3 linked regions of the Oryzias latipes genome follow. The main gene of each other region encodes a partner of the protein of the gene in region 2 in a complex. Links are inferred from orthologs where the notes say so. Each region holds a gene or a part of one and is shown on either strand. Other genes may lie near its edges. The genes, in order: tacc3, aurka and tpx2.

Evidence for each region.
Region 1: the proteins of aurka (region 2) and tacc3 are in contact, whole or in part, in a crystal structure (PDB 5ODT), measured with the Homo sapiens proteins. The link is inferred for Oryzias latipes from reciprocal best matches to the Homo sapiens genes AURKA and TACC3. Residues at the interface, in NP_001310232.1 of Homo sapiens: Leu130, Phe133, Glu134, Ile135, Gly136, Arg137, Tyr148, Leu149, Ala150, Arg151, Ile158, Val163, Arg205, Tyr207; in NP_001428248.1 of Homo sapiens: Glu523, Ser524, Phe525, Arg526, Pro528, Val531, Leu532, Gly533.
Region 3: the proteins of aurka (region 2) and tpx2 are in contact, whole or in part, in a crystal structure (PDB 3HA6), measured with the Homo sapiens proteins. The link is inferred for Oryzias latipes from reciprocal best matches to the Homo sapiens genes AURKA and TPX2. Residues at the interface, in NP_001310232.1 of Homo sapiens: Lys125, Arg126, Gln127, Trp128, Asp132, Glu152, Gln154, Ser155, Phe157, Leu159, Lys166, Glu170, Gly173, Glu175, Leu178, Arg179, Val182, Glu183, Ile184, Ser186, His187, Leu188, Arg189, Tyr197, Gly198, Tyr199, His201, Val206, Tyr246, Ser249; in NP_036244.2 of Homo sapiens: Gln3, Lys5, Ser6, Ser7, Tyr8, Ser9, Tyr10, Asp11, Ala12, Pro13, Ser14, Asp15, Phe16, Ile17, Phe19, Ser20, Ile31, Asp32, Trp34, Phe35, Glu36, Lys38, Ala39.

What each region holds. Positions count from the first base shown.
Region 1 is NC_019880.2:12,233,936-12,237,756, reverse strand, and holds the end of tacc3 (transforming acidic coiled-coil-containing protein 3), read right to left. Parts: coding exon 3,748-3,821; intron 3,656-3,747; coding exon 3,530-3,655; intron 2,106-3,529; coding exon 2,038-2,105; intron 1,954-2,037; coding exon 1,910-1,953; intron 1,835-1,909; coding exon 1,674-1,834; intron 1,594-1,673; coding exon 1,487-1,593; intron 1,401-1,486; coding exon 1,280-1,400; intron 1,197-1,279; coding exon 1,131-1,196; 3' UTR 1,007-1,130; downstream 1-1,006. UniProt on the Homo sapiens protein: Plays a role in the microtubule-dependent coupling of the nucleus and the centrosome. Involved in the processes that regulate centrosome-mediated interkinetic nuclear migration (INM) of neural progenitors.
Region 2 is NC_019863.2:11,351,130-11,356,572, forward strand, and holds the start of aurka (aurora kinase A), read right to left. Parts: upstream 3,459-5,443; 5' UTR 3,110-3,458; intron 2,799-3,109; 5' UTR 2,796-2,798; coding exon 2,730-2,795; intron 2,221-2,729; coding exon 1,875-2,220; intron 1,796-1,874; coding exon 1,759-1,795; intron 1,668-1,758; coding exon 1,476-1,667; intron 1-1,475. Other genes in the region: PRELI domain containing protein 3B, read right to left, coding at 5,160-5,276. UniProt on the Homo sapiens protein: Mitotic serine/threonine kinase that contributes to the regulation of cell cycle progression.
Region 3 is NC_019865.2:31,504,936-31,508,979, forward strand, and holds the end of tpx2 (targeting protein for Xklp2), read right to left. Parts: intron 3,884-4,044; coding exon 3,757-3,883; intron 3,690-3,756; coding exon 3,470-3,689; intron 3,395-3,469; coding exon 3,299-3,394; intron 3,222-3,298; coding exon 3,048-3,221; intron 2,972-3,047; coding exon 2,825-2,971; intron 2,758-2,824; coding exon 2,646-2,757; intron 1,941-2,645; coding exon 1,756-1,940; intron 1,460-1,755; coding exon 1,349-1,459; 3' UTR 1,129-1,348; downstream 1-1,128. UniProt on the Homo sapiens protein: Spindle assembly factor required for normal assembly of mitotic spindles. Required for normal assembly of microtubules during apoptosis. Required for chromatin and/or kinetochore dependent microtubule nucleation.

The sequences.
Region 1 (3,821 bases), on a different chromosome or scaffold from region 2:
AGTCAGTAGCATTTTGACATAAACCAGAAGAGATTTAGTCTTTTTGACCCCCACCTTATCCAAGCAGTTTATGAAGCTGTAATCAGAATATTTAATTTATTTTCCTAAAAGAATTTAAAGGTTTATTTTTCAGAGTAAGGCATTTCACTTATCTATTGAATGTTATTAAAGTATACTGTTGTGTGTTGTACATTTTGAAAACTTTGTTCACTTGTTTATTCGCATTTACTTTATTGCCAATATTTAGGTATTTTTTCAAGTAGCTTGTATTTGACAATCTTGTATGATGCATTCTTTAAGATTTGATAGTTTGATTAAAAAAACTGAAATCAGTTTGGGTGCTGTTCTGGACTATTTTTTTCTTTTAGAATGGTTTTTTTGTGGCTGTAAACCAAAGCTGAGGCTGAGCATCTCATGAACAAAAGGGCCAGGTTCTCTCACAGGTGTAGTGTCGTCCTCAGAGCAGAGCAGAGTGTTGGAGGGTGACTCAAAGGGCAGCCAGAGGGACACGAGCGACGGGGATGAAAGACTGAATAGACACCAGAGCAGTCTCACGGTTGCTTTTTAGATGAGTGATGTCCCCTGCAAGACTACACCCAAACGGCTGACATCTTTTCTCCGTTTAAGTGAATCGTCCCCCTTCTCCGCCTCTGCATCACCATCTCATTCAACTCTGATCTAGGTAGGGTTTCCTTTCACCATTTAGGAAGTACATTGTCCTGCTGTGGGAGTGATGTGACAAGACCCAGTGATTGCTGAGGAAAGAAGGGGAGCATTGTATGAGGTGAGCTGTTGTTTGTTGGGAGAATCGCAGCATGGAGATGAGCTTTGGCTCCGGACGAATGACAAGTTTTCCATCTGTGCACTTAAGAGCACTCTGCACTGATTAACATAGAGACTCGTGTTACCTGCAGATCCAAAACTAAAGCTTCAAGTCCCAATGCACAGATGCAAGTGGAAACACTGCCCTCTAGTGGCCCACACGTGAAAAATCAAATTTTCAATGGTAAAACTTGTAAAATTATCTTTATTTTCTTTTTGTTAAACAGTATCATCAGAACACTGATAAACAGAAAAACACTACACAAAAAAATGATATGGACACAAAAATACAGTATTTACAAACAAGCTCAGCCCTTCTGAACTTTAGAGATCAGGTCATCACAGAGTTTGGTGAGCTCCTGGGCCTCCTTTTCCTGAATGGGAGACAAAAAAAGATTGGTGTCGTTCCAGTTTTATAGTCAAATTTGCAAACGCAAGCTTATTTCTGTTGACTCACTTTCTGATCCAGACGTTTCTCCACGGACTGAACCTTCAGCTGCTCCCGGCGTAGCTGTGCCTGAAGAGCTGAGAACTCTGCCTTGTATTTAGATCGAACCTCAGCAATTTCTTCATTTGCTCTAAGGAAAGAAGGACAAAATCTTTATGTCCTGAAATCTTTCTAAGCTTGAAAACCTACAGACAAAAAACAAAAACAAAAACTTACTGGCCAATTTTCCCCTCAGCATGAGCTTTGAGGATCTGGTAGCGCTGCTCCTCCTTTTTGATTCTTTCCTGGTAATCCTGTGCACGAGTCTTCAGTATCTCTTCATTCTACAGAAAATACAACTACTTAAATACCCTTACATTAAAAAAAAAGTAAATTACACAAAAAAATGCTCATTAACCCATACCTTTTTGTAACCCTCTACCATTTCCTTGTACTTCTCCAGTCTCTTAAAAAGCTCAGCAAAAGATTTTTCTATGGTATTCAGCTCACTGGAAACTTGCTCTTTCTCCTGCAGGGCCTTTTTGAGGTTTTCTCGTGCCTCTTCCCTCTCTTTCTCGTGATCAGCTGATGGCAGAAAATTGGAGCATGAACAGCCTTTTCCAAAAACCTGCCCCCCTTCTGTGATGAAGGTTAACTTACCCATCGTTTTTGCGATGGCGAGTTCGAATTCAATGATCATCTTCCTGTGACAGAAAAAATATTTATTCAATATTTAAAGCATCTGAAATGTCAAAAAAATATAAAAAATTGGCTCGGCATCAACTCGCCTCATTTGTTGACCATCATTTTGGAGCTTGTCATACTTGTCACTCCAGTGCTGCTCTTTTTCTTTTGCCTATATAGGAAATGCACACAAATGAAAGGCTGACTGCAGTTCAATCCTGATTACAAAACAAGAGTTACTATTTGCCAAACACTCAAAAGATTTTGAATGATTAGTTTTCTTCGACGTTTTTTCAGAGTAATACAAAAGTAAAATGTTTTTAAACAACTATAAGGCGCCCTTTAAAGACAGACTGTAGGGGGCGCCTTAAGAGGTGGGGCACCTAATGAGTTGCTGAGAAGCACCGGAGAAGTAGGTGAGTGACTCAAGGACAGTGTAACAACATGAGGCCGACTTCTCTTCACAGCTCCCTAACTCATGGTGTGGACATCAACACTTCCCATGAGTCTTAGTGGCCATGGGCGGGGCTAAGGCTCAGGTCCCCACAACACTATTTACAAAATGGCTGAAGCCCTGTTTGAACTCCAGCTATCAGCTATGTGGAGAAAAAATAAATCAAAACTAACTCAGACTTTCTCTTGCTGTTTTTTTTTTAAACACACACTGAGTGTTTGTGTGTGTGCGTAAGCCTGTGTTTTCGCCAGCGCATACAGGAAGGAGAAAAGCAGACACACGGCGCAAGCCTGTGTGTGTGTGTGTGTTTATGTTTGTCCTGAAGGCAGCAGCGTTTTCGCTAAGCGCGTGTGTAGGATAAGGACGAAGGGAGATGCCCACGCAAGTAAGTGTGTGAGCATTCAGTTTGTGTAACTCAGTTAGGGAGAACAGTAAAAATAAAAATGTTTCCTCTAAAGAACAGAAACTGGTTATTTTATTAACCCACTCTGGAGGCTCTGAGGGTCCGAAGGGGCGTTAATGTGCCCGCGCCTTAACACCAGGTGCGCCCCGTGGTCATTAAAATACGGTACTAGAAAGCCTGATTCTGATTTTTTCTATATTAAAGATGCACGGATACCTTTTTTTTTACTAAAACAAAAGAAATTAACTTCCATCCTACGGTAATATTCTTTGAGTGAGAAAATATTAGTAATCATTATTTATGTCAAGTTAATAAACTAATCTGGTAGCTAAGACAATCACTTGAAAAGTTAGTTGGGGCGACAGTGGCTCAGGTGGTTGAGCGGGTCGTCCAATGATCGAAGGGTTGGCGGTTCGATCCCCGCTCCCACCAGCCAAAAATGTCGTTGTGTCCTTGGGCAAGACACTTCACCCTCCTTGCCTCCAGTGTGGCTCCACTGGTGTGTGAATGCGCATGAATGATCCCGGTGATGGTCAGAGGGGCCGTAGGCGCGAACTGGCAGCCACGCCTCTGTCAGTCTGCCCCAGGGCAGCTGTGGCTACAACCGTAGCTTACCATCACCAAGTATGAATGAGGAGTGAATGAATAATGGACATAATGTAAGCGCTTTGGGTGTCTTGAAAAGCGCAGAAAAATCCAATCCATTATTATTATTATTATTAAAAGTGAAAGTGAATACCTCTGCCTGCACTTTGGCAATAGCCGCGTCCATGTCCTTCTGACTGTACTTCAAAACTTCGATGATGGCGTCTTCTGTGTTTGCGGGCTGCGGGAAAGGAGGGATGATGCTCTCAAGGACAGGAGTCTACAAAAAACAGGCAGGAAATGTTCCCATTGGGGTGAAATGGTGAAGGACTGCGAGTGTGCACGTGTGATAAAATCATCCATATGACTCACTAATGCTGCAGCATCCTCCAGCAGTTTACAGTCATCGTTTGGAAGGACCGTTACCAGCTCTTTTCTAGCCGACT
Region 2 (5,443 bases):
CAACATAATCTCATTGTGACATTTACTGCTCTGCACTGTTGATTTAAAGACCCACTCCAATAAAAAAAATCATGCTTTTTAACATGTTCTTGTAGGATTCTTCTCATGTTGGAGAACATATATTCAGGAAGTTGGAAAGAAAACTGAATTCCTGAGCATTTCTTTTTTCAGGTGCAGCAAAAAAACTCAGTTGTGACGCAGCAACTGAAATGGGTTTTTACCAGTCTACTTGTTCACTCCATTCTGATGCATCCGCTTGCAGACAAATGGATACATTACCGTCTTCCTTTTCCTCCTCTGAGCTGGATCCTGCTTACAGCTGGATGGCTCTGATTTTCAGGGATTGTACACTTTTTTTTTTTAGCAATGCTTTATCCATAACTTTTCACAGAATTTCCAAAACTAAAAATAAACACATTTCGGTAACTATTGCAGTCGGTGCCGCCAACTCAAACCAAGAACACACATGGATACATCCAAGTTCTCCTGCCTTGCTGTTAAAATTGCAGCCTTCAGCTTCACATGGAAGCAAAGTCCGGCAGGGACCGTCAATGAAGTACACGAAAACGACCCCGAAAATCAATTTCTCACAACTCACCCTCAATAATCTCAAAAACATCACAAGAACACATTATTGTTTAAACAACCTTCACTAAAATCCCTAATGTCAGTCGTAGACGCGTCCTTAGCTCCTCGCTTTAGGACTACAACTGTTATACCAGTAGTTCAGAAAAATATTAAGAGCAAATTCTGAAACAAAACTCATAGCAAAAATCATAAGAATTATGGTGAAGTCGACCACACCCACAACGGGAGCCTCCAGCAGGTCAACCACGGGCTTTGCGCCTATTATTGTCGTTGAGATTGACTCAAACAAAAGAAACAAACAGTTCCTACTGGTTAATATTTGAAACTTACCCAACATTTTGCTTTGTAACATTTGTGAATAAGTAGGAAGAAGAAAACAGACTGGTGATATTGTGACAAACACAAACAGATCATGTCTATGAGACTTTTTCTACTTCTAATTGCAGCTCATCCTATAGTTTTCATGAGCAGATGAGGTTAGAGCCCGGGCTGCTTAGACTTCTTTGCTTATGTAGAACAAAAAGCACGAAAAGACTTGGAACGAAGATCTCCTGTTTTTTTTTTTTTTAAATCTAACAAGCTTCCATAGTAACGCCATCATAACCCATTTTAAAAAGTTCTCTCTCAAAGTCGGAATCTCCTGAATGAGTAGTATTGGATTTTGCGTCACCCCCACATTGTATAAGCTTTCTCTATAAACAGTTATGTAAATGACAGCAATATTGTTTTTGCAATTTTGACTGTGAATCTGTTTGCTGTACTGGAGTTTGTCAGTCAATGATTGTAAGGTACAAACACTAGATGGGATCAGCCCCAAAATCATAATCAGGTTGAGATTTGTGTCTGCAAATACTTGTTTGGGATGAGATCAGGTTAGCCAGAATTACCTGAGATGTGACTGGATTTCCACCTCTCGTCTCAACTGATGCTCCACCCCAGCCCTCTCCAGTTGCTTCTTGAAAAGAACCTTCAGAGCCAAGATGAACTTGGTCTGTCGCTCTCGGGCGAGGTAGACGTTGCCGAACTTTCCCTTTCCTAAAGGACGACCAATGTCAAAGTCTTCTAGGCTCCATCGCTTCCTGTATGAGCACAACAGTCTGGTTACAGCCTTCCAGAGAACATTTTCAGGCTTATACATGCATGATAAAAAATAGTCTGTACTTGACATACTTGGATGTAGAGCCCTGCTCAGTTCTTGAGAGCTTGCCTGATAAAATATAATATATATGTATAAATAACTTATTTTTAAACGTGAGAAATGTGTTTAATTCAGTGGCATAACCTACTCTGTTGCTTGTCTGCTTTTATGGGTTCCGACGGTGGCTTGGCCAAATCTGGATTTGCACCGAGAACCTGAGTCTTTGGTTGGTTTTGCTGGGACGTAGGTTTAGACGGTGGAGCATGATGTGCATTCAGAGTAGCTGGATTCACATTCTGATCGCCAGAATGTGAGGACTTGTTGGTAAAAGCGACTTGAGATACCGGTTTCTGATGACTAACAGGTCGCTGGATACGCTGAGGTCCATTTGACACACTGAGAACTCGCTGATGCGAGGTGGGTGTGACTATTGCCTTGGGAACCATTTGATGCTGTTGAGACACAGGAATTCGTCGTGGTCCATCACTGCCGGACTGCAATTAAGAGACCAGCAAATAGAAATTTTAACATTTAATTCAAGGAAATGCAGCTTTACATATTGCTACATCAGTATTACTTTCTAACCTATATTACCATTAGGGGTTGTAGATTCATAGTTCATTCTTGTTTGATTTGAATGATTCGATCTGTTTCACTGACCTACAATGGATCCCAGACATCTTTAACCAAAATTCAACCAGTGTGACTCAGAGATACACATAAAAATAATATATATGGAACAGTATTAGAAGGTTCTATCACACCGTATAATCATGTTTTTGCTAAATCCAAAGTGTTTCCACACATTTTGTAATGATGGCTTGATCACGTGCGTTGTCCGCTGTGATGTCACTTGGTCATTTATATTTCTCAATCCAAATGGTATTTTCCAACATTGAATATAAATCAATCCCTAATTACTATACTATATATGAAAATGCAGTGAAGGGCATAAAAAAGTTAGACATTTAAACTTAAAAAAAGAAAATCAGTCTGACTTCACCTGCTTTATTTCAGGCTTTTGCAGTTTCACACTCTTTGTCACCTTGAGTGAGGGAGAAGGATCCATTTCCTGAAGGAAAAAGTTTATATTATTATAAGTATATAATTCAAATAGCGTATCAGATGAAAACACGAGGAAATTATAGGCTTAGGTCCGCAATGCTAACTGTAGTACTTACACAGACAATGATCAAATATAATCTTAGTGAACAAACTATGCACGTAAAGGTAAAACATTTATAAAAGTAAATACTTTAAGTCAAGTTAAAAGAGCTGATGTTCTCTTCTCCAGAGGCTAGCTAACGTTAATGAACAAGTGCTTCTGTTAGCTTAGCAACTATCATACAAACTATTTTTAATGCAACGTCTGACATAACTTACCCAAATGTACTACTGCACAATGATATACAGCAACCACGGCACGTTAAAATATCCAGAATTAATCAGTCCAATACATTCAAGAAGAAAAAAACCATGCCCACGTAGATGCTACGAAAGCTAGCTAACGAAAGATAATTCCTTTTGTCTAAATATAAACGCAAAGTCCAGTGAAACGTTACGAACAGACAACTTGTTTGGACTGAAAGCAAATAAATATATGCGGCAAAACTAGTTCAAAACACCTAAAAGGTTTAAACTACAGAGATGTCTGTGACCACACGATTCTTTTCCTGAAACGCTGATTAGAAATTTCAAACGTCCCTGTTTTAACCTTTAAAAAAAATCAGCTGGTCTGATTGGCTGACAGAATGCCCAATTTCGGTTTCCTATTGGCTAATACAATGTATCGAATGGGCGGCAGGAACGTCATGGGTAATTGGAGTTCCAAAGCACTAGATGGCAGAGCGCAGGTTCAGTTCGGTCAGTTTAAACAATTTACGAAAACAAACAAATAAACGCAAAAAAGATAAAATTAAAACTATCTCAAAACGGTAATAGCTATTTAGAAAGAAAAAAACACGAGGGGAGAAGTTTAACAGACCAAAGTAAATGGTTGGTCAAGCTCATTCTGCGCCAAAAAAAAGGGAGGGGGGGGGGGGGTTATAATTCAACACCCGTCCAAGGTTTTCTTTGGTTACTCACATAAAATTGATTAGGATAATGATGACGCATGGGCTAACTAAATACTTTTTTATTTTGTTTTTTAAGACACTTGCGGCCCCTTGTGTTTATAATGAGTAACTACATCTCCCCCATTCTTGAGGCCTTCAGATGAACGAATATAATTTGATTTTTAATTCAAAAGTACCCAACTAGCTCACAAAAATTAGTTTAGTCTCTATTAGTTTAGTCTCTCTTTTCCATAATAGAAAACGTCTTTCAATAAGTGGTTAAAATTTTTAGTCCCAAGTGTTTGTTTTCTCAGTTATATTTTATTATGAAAATATTTAAAGCAAAACCCACAGAACTCTCATGGAAAATAAAATATTGAGGGGAAGCTTTTAAGTTAAAATATTTTACTTTTATTCTTATATTCATTTTTTTTCTCCTGTTCACAGGTAACATTTCTTTAGTTGTACATTCTTTTTTGATGTAAAGACTAGCAAGAAATAAACAGTTTTTCTAAATAAATACATTCTTTAAAGTTTTAGAAATATTGTATCAAAGAAGGCGTCTACAATACCATAGAACAGTTCATACAGTTACAGCGGCTTCATTGTGCAGCACCTGCAGCGACCTTTAAACTGAAAGACCGCCGACTGGATGTTAAACGTTCAATTTCTGCATTTAACTTAAAGTTGACAGACGACACATTTACATTGACAGAAAGGCAGAATCTGACAAGGTCTTACTATAAAAATATAAATATGGCGAGAACATTGATCCCTTCTTTTAACTTAAATAATACAATAAGTCTTTATACAACAGTACATTCATTCAGGCTTTGCCTAAAAAACAAAAATAAAGAGACAGTGTTGGTATTGCTGAGGTCCCGCAGAGAAACATTACAGAAATAGTTCTAATAAAGAAATCAAACTGGCCCTGAAAGTTCGGATCGCTTAGATAGATGGAGTAGAGTTCTCCACCTGTTTCCTTTGAACTGCTTACATTTATACATCTACCTTCCTAAGTTAGTGTGAGTGCAGTCGGCTGTGTTGAGGAACAGTTTTTTTTTTTTTTTTAACAGAACATGAGATCTGAAAGTACAACCGTCTCAACTTTGGCACTTTTCTTCCATATCTGGTGCCTTTAAAGTCAAACTCTGAGCACACAAAGACAGGTAGTGTTTCCATCTTTCCTGAGCGCGTCACATCCACTTGATCCTAAAATCACTGTCATCTCACTGAATAGATAGAATATAGATGGCAAAGTGTGCCGCTCGAGTAATACAGAAAACCAAGAGCACCAGAGCAGCCCAACGAAGGACTGGTTGTATAGATAAGCAGTGCAACTTAGACGGAACTAACAAAAACAAAACAGGAAGTGTGTGTCATTTCTCTGTGACTGCTGCAGCCATCGGGGCCCGTAAGGTCCCACGCGCTGTGGCTGCCAGCTCCTCGATCTCTGCATTGAGTTGCCTGATCACCCACTCCATGGCTTCACGGCCCTAGATGAGAAAAAAAAAATAAAGAGTTCACTGATGACAGAAGCAGAAGAAATGATGAGATAAAGTAGAGGAAAAGACAAAACTCTGTCCTCTCCTTTGACCTTTTAAAAAATGTTTCTATGTCTGCAACAGTCTCAGTACAGTTTTATAAAATTATTTTGTTGTAA
Region 3 (4,044 bases), on a different chromosome or scaffold from region 2:
GGCTCTGCTTCCTCTCTGCTGGGGAACTTCTGGGCTTCCTCCCTGCCGTTTCTGAATGCTGCTATGCTGAATGAAGGCTCTTCGGTCCTAAATGTTTCTGACCCTCTCACAGATGCTTAACTTAGATCTCATGACAGAGAACTGAACCTTCTGTTGAGAATGGCGGTGGCCAAACTCCAGCGGCGCTCTGCCACCCGCTCAGGAACGTGAGTCTCCTCGGTTTTCAGTCCGTTTTCCCTCAGGAACCTCCTGCACTCGTGAGATCCAACCTGAGCTATTCCAAGTCCTTCTAGGGGCATCATGGGAAATGTAGTTAGGTGGCCCAGTGAGGTTTTTCTGTTTGAGCTCCTGTTTAGTCTGGATTTGTGGGTTTGGGTCTGATCCCCTGCAGTTTGGTCATGTTTTTATCTGCAGAGCTGAACTGACACTCCAAATTATTTATTGTTTTTTTATTCGATCAGCTTTTCTAGTAGGTTAGGTTCTATGTGGAATTCCGGGCTGGTGACCCTCCGGGTGCTGTCTAACACTAAAATCCATCTGATTCCTACGAAAATTCAAGGCTTTTCAGTTTTATTTCAATAAAAATAATTGTAAACTTTTAGTTTGAACACTTGACTGATTTCAAAGTTCTGGAGTGAAGGAGAACGCCATGTGCAGATCCTTAAACACTGACCCTAATAACATGTTTTCCTCTTTAATTGTACATTTGTTGTTTTAACCCTTTAGAAGCCCACGTCTACAGCACTGTCCAGTGTTAAAATTCCCCGTAACCCTTGTGCTATCCTAGGCACTTTGACGTTGGGAGTTGGGTCATCTAGACCCACTAGACAGTGCTCTGAACCTTTTTTCTTCAGTGATTTGTGATCTTCACTGGTGTCCATGGATTACATGAAATCTTTCCACCTTTATCCACCTTTGTCATGATAGGGAGAACACGTCAATGGAAGGGTGGGGTCATCTAAGATAGCACAAGGGTTAAAGGAAAACGAGCCCTAAATGTTTCAAATATTAAAGCGTTATTGTTCTTCCAGCCAAAAGCATCGTTCTAACGTGTCGATTCTTTAAAGTGGATCAAATACTTGAACCACATTTCTGTTCCGGTTCATGTCAGTCAATAACTTTGTCTCCTTTGTGTTTGCATCACATTTTATTCAAAACTGCATGGATACATTAATGCACATTCAAGAAAAGAGGAACGACTGGCAGTTCCATGGAAAACAAATGTACACAATTTACAAACTTTCAGGGTGCATGCCACGTCTCTAAAAGGTTCCACTTAAAAGCTACACGGAGTAAAATCATGAACATAAACGTCTACATCTGGGATTCTGCCCAAACAAGGCGGGCTTCACAGGCGGAAGCGGTCGGAGAAATTGGGCGACTCTGGAACCGTGAGGGGGATCTCGCTCTTCTTCACCGTCACGGGTTTGTACTGCCGGATGGGCTGAGCCTTATGGACCTGAGGACAGAGACAGGCGTTCAAACGGCTGAGCAGAACTGTGCAGACGCTGATGCACAGCAGGTTTCAGCGCTCGCCGTTCTCCAGAGAACAGTCATGAATGGGTTCAGGTCCAAAGCAGATGAAGCTCTCTGGACCAGATGAAAATTCTGAACTTTAGCCTGGTCTGCACCGCCAATGTGCGCACTTTCTAGTTACCATGGCAACAGTATTACAGCTGAAACAATGGAGCTAAAAATCAAATCTGGAAGAAAACCCCTTTCAGCTGCTAAAGGGGGAGGAGCTTCTTCACTCACCTGTTCCTGCCGCAGCATGGCAATCTCCTCTTTGATCCGCTGCTCCTCCTCTCGCCTCTGCTCCACCTCCATGCGTGCTCTGAGCGCCTCCTTCTCGCTGACCGTGCGCTCGTACTCCTGCCACTCTTTGGCCCGCCGCTCCGTTGCCAGCTCAAAGGTTTCCACTACTGTAGAAGAATGAACGTCTTCTCAGGAGAACCGGAGGACCAAGGTGAAGACAAGAACATCATGAGTTACACAACGGCGGAGAGCGCCGAGCCCGCCCGCGGCGGAGGCGCTCTCCTGAACGCACCCCAGCTTCTTTGCAGACGGTCACTTCCAGTCAGTCTGTTTTCAGTGAAAGGTCTGGTTTTGTCTTAAACTCTTCACAGGACTGAAGAAATGAACTGAATAAAAGTGAAACCTGCACCATCAATAAACATGAATCCTCACACTGAAGCCACGAAGACGTGGATGGAAGCTTCTTACTACGGGTGGGGGTAGAGCCCCATGAAGCCGTGGAAACATTGCAAAAACCTGGCCTTAAACCGGAGTTAGTCATAGAGTCAGCTGTAATGTGACTGTGGTCCCTGGCCGTCATAAATTTACCAAACCGCCCCCCTTTATAAACCAGGTTTATCCTGTATGACCTTATTAGGAGAAACCAAGTGGAAATGCTCCAAGCAGCCACAGAACCTTGTTTACCAGGAGCCGTGGTCATGAAGGCCGTTTGGGATTCATGCTTTTTTCACACGAGTGACATCTGAACCCCGGTTCCACCAAACAATGCTTCATGTTTCATCAACCACGTGAACTGCACCGTGTTTAGGGACACGCGGCCCTGAACATCGTGCCGAGCCACTCACAAGCGCCGAAGCGTCCGTGTCACACGGGCCGTCCCTAGTTCTTACCCAGCGTGGGCCGGCTCTCCTTCTTGGGCCTGAAGGGTTCTTTATGAATGACTGTGTTGGGCCGGGCCTTGAATGCTGCTGCCCCCTCCTGGTGCTTCTGCTCCTCCTTCACCTTCAGGACACAGAGACATGAGGCTCAGTGGGAACAGGAATGTGAAGCGTGTCGGGTCCTGCGGTACCATTTGCTCCCAGCGGCTGCTCTTCACGGCTCCACGTTCATCGATCAGCAGCTTGAAGGGTTCTGGCTTAGTGGGCTCAAGCTTCTTCTTCTCAGGAAGAACCACGGTGTCAAAGTCCGGCAGCGGCTGCGCCTTGAACTGTGGGACCTGGACAGGCGGAGGGAGCAGCATGAGTGGACTGTGGCTGTGCTCAGACTGCTGGTTAAGGACGGAAAGGCTTCACCTCCTGGTTTCTCATTTCCTCAAGCTTCCTCTCCTTTAACGCCCGCCTCTCCCGCTCTCTCTCCTCAAATGAGAAAGGACACACGTCCAGGTGGTGGTCCTCTGGGAGGCGGGGCTGGAACGGTAGGCCAAAGTGAGGCACCGGCGGCGCCTTCACAGGAGAGGGCTGCTTTACCTGAAGCAGCAGGTCAAAAAAGGGCCATGAGTGAGCTGGAGGGATGCTGGTTGAAAGGACAGCTCTAGCTTTCTTACCTCTTCAGCCTTCCGTTCCACACGGATCCTCTTCTTGAGGGCAAAAGCAGGCGATTCCGGCACAGTGGGATGCAGCACCTTCTTCTCAGGTAGGCCCTGTCCACAGAGCGACATTACGTCACCTTGCTGTGGGAAGGACCGAGCCCCCCAGTGCCCTTCCACTCCACTCACCACAACCCCGTCCAGGACCTTTTTGGGCAGAGGGTTGGCTTTGAAGTTGTGGGGCTTCTCCTCATCCTCGCTCTTCTTGGTGGCCTGCCTCTGCTGGAGCCTCCTCTCCAGCTCCAGCTCAAAGCCTTGAGGTACGGTTGGCTCCTTCACCGGCGGCTTCCTCAGCTCCTCTGCTCCCTCCAGGATCTTCTTGTTCAGCTCCAGAGCTTTGATTTTGAACCTGCCGGGAGGAAACAGACGTCCAACAGCGTCCCAACAGGGCAGCACCAGCGGGCGTGCGGCCTTACTTCTTCTGCTTTTCCATCTCCTCTGCCTCCAGCTCAACGCTGCTCTTCACTGAGGTGGGTCTGCTTCTCTGCCGCGTCATCAGGTGGGGGGAGTGGGGCTGGGTGAGCTTCAGGTGGCTTGCTTTCACTGCCAAGAAAGACATAACGGTGAAGTCAGTCGTGTGACCAAACTGCACAGATGCACTTTGACGTCAGAATAGTTTCATAAAAAGGTAGAACCCCCGCTGCAGGAGCTCAGCGGGTTTTTGGTTTGTAATGCTTCACTGCAGAGACCAGCTGCTTTCACAT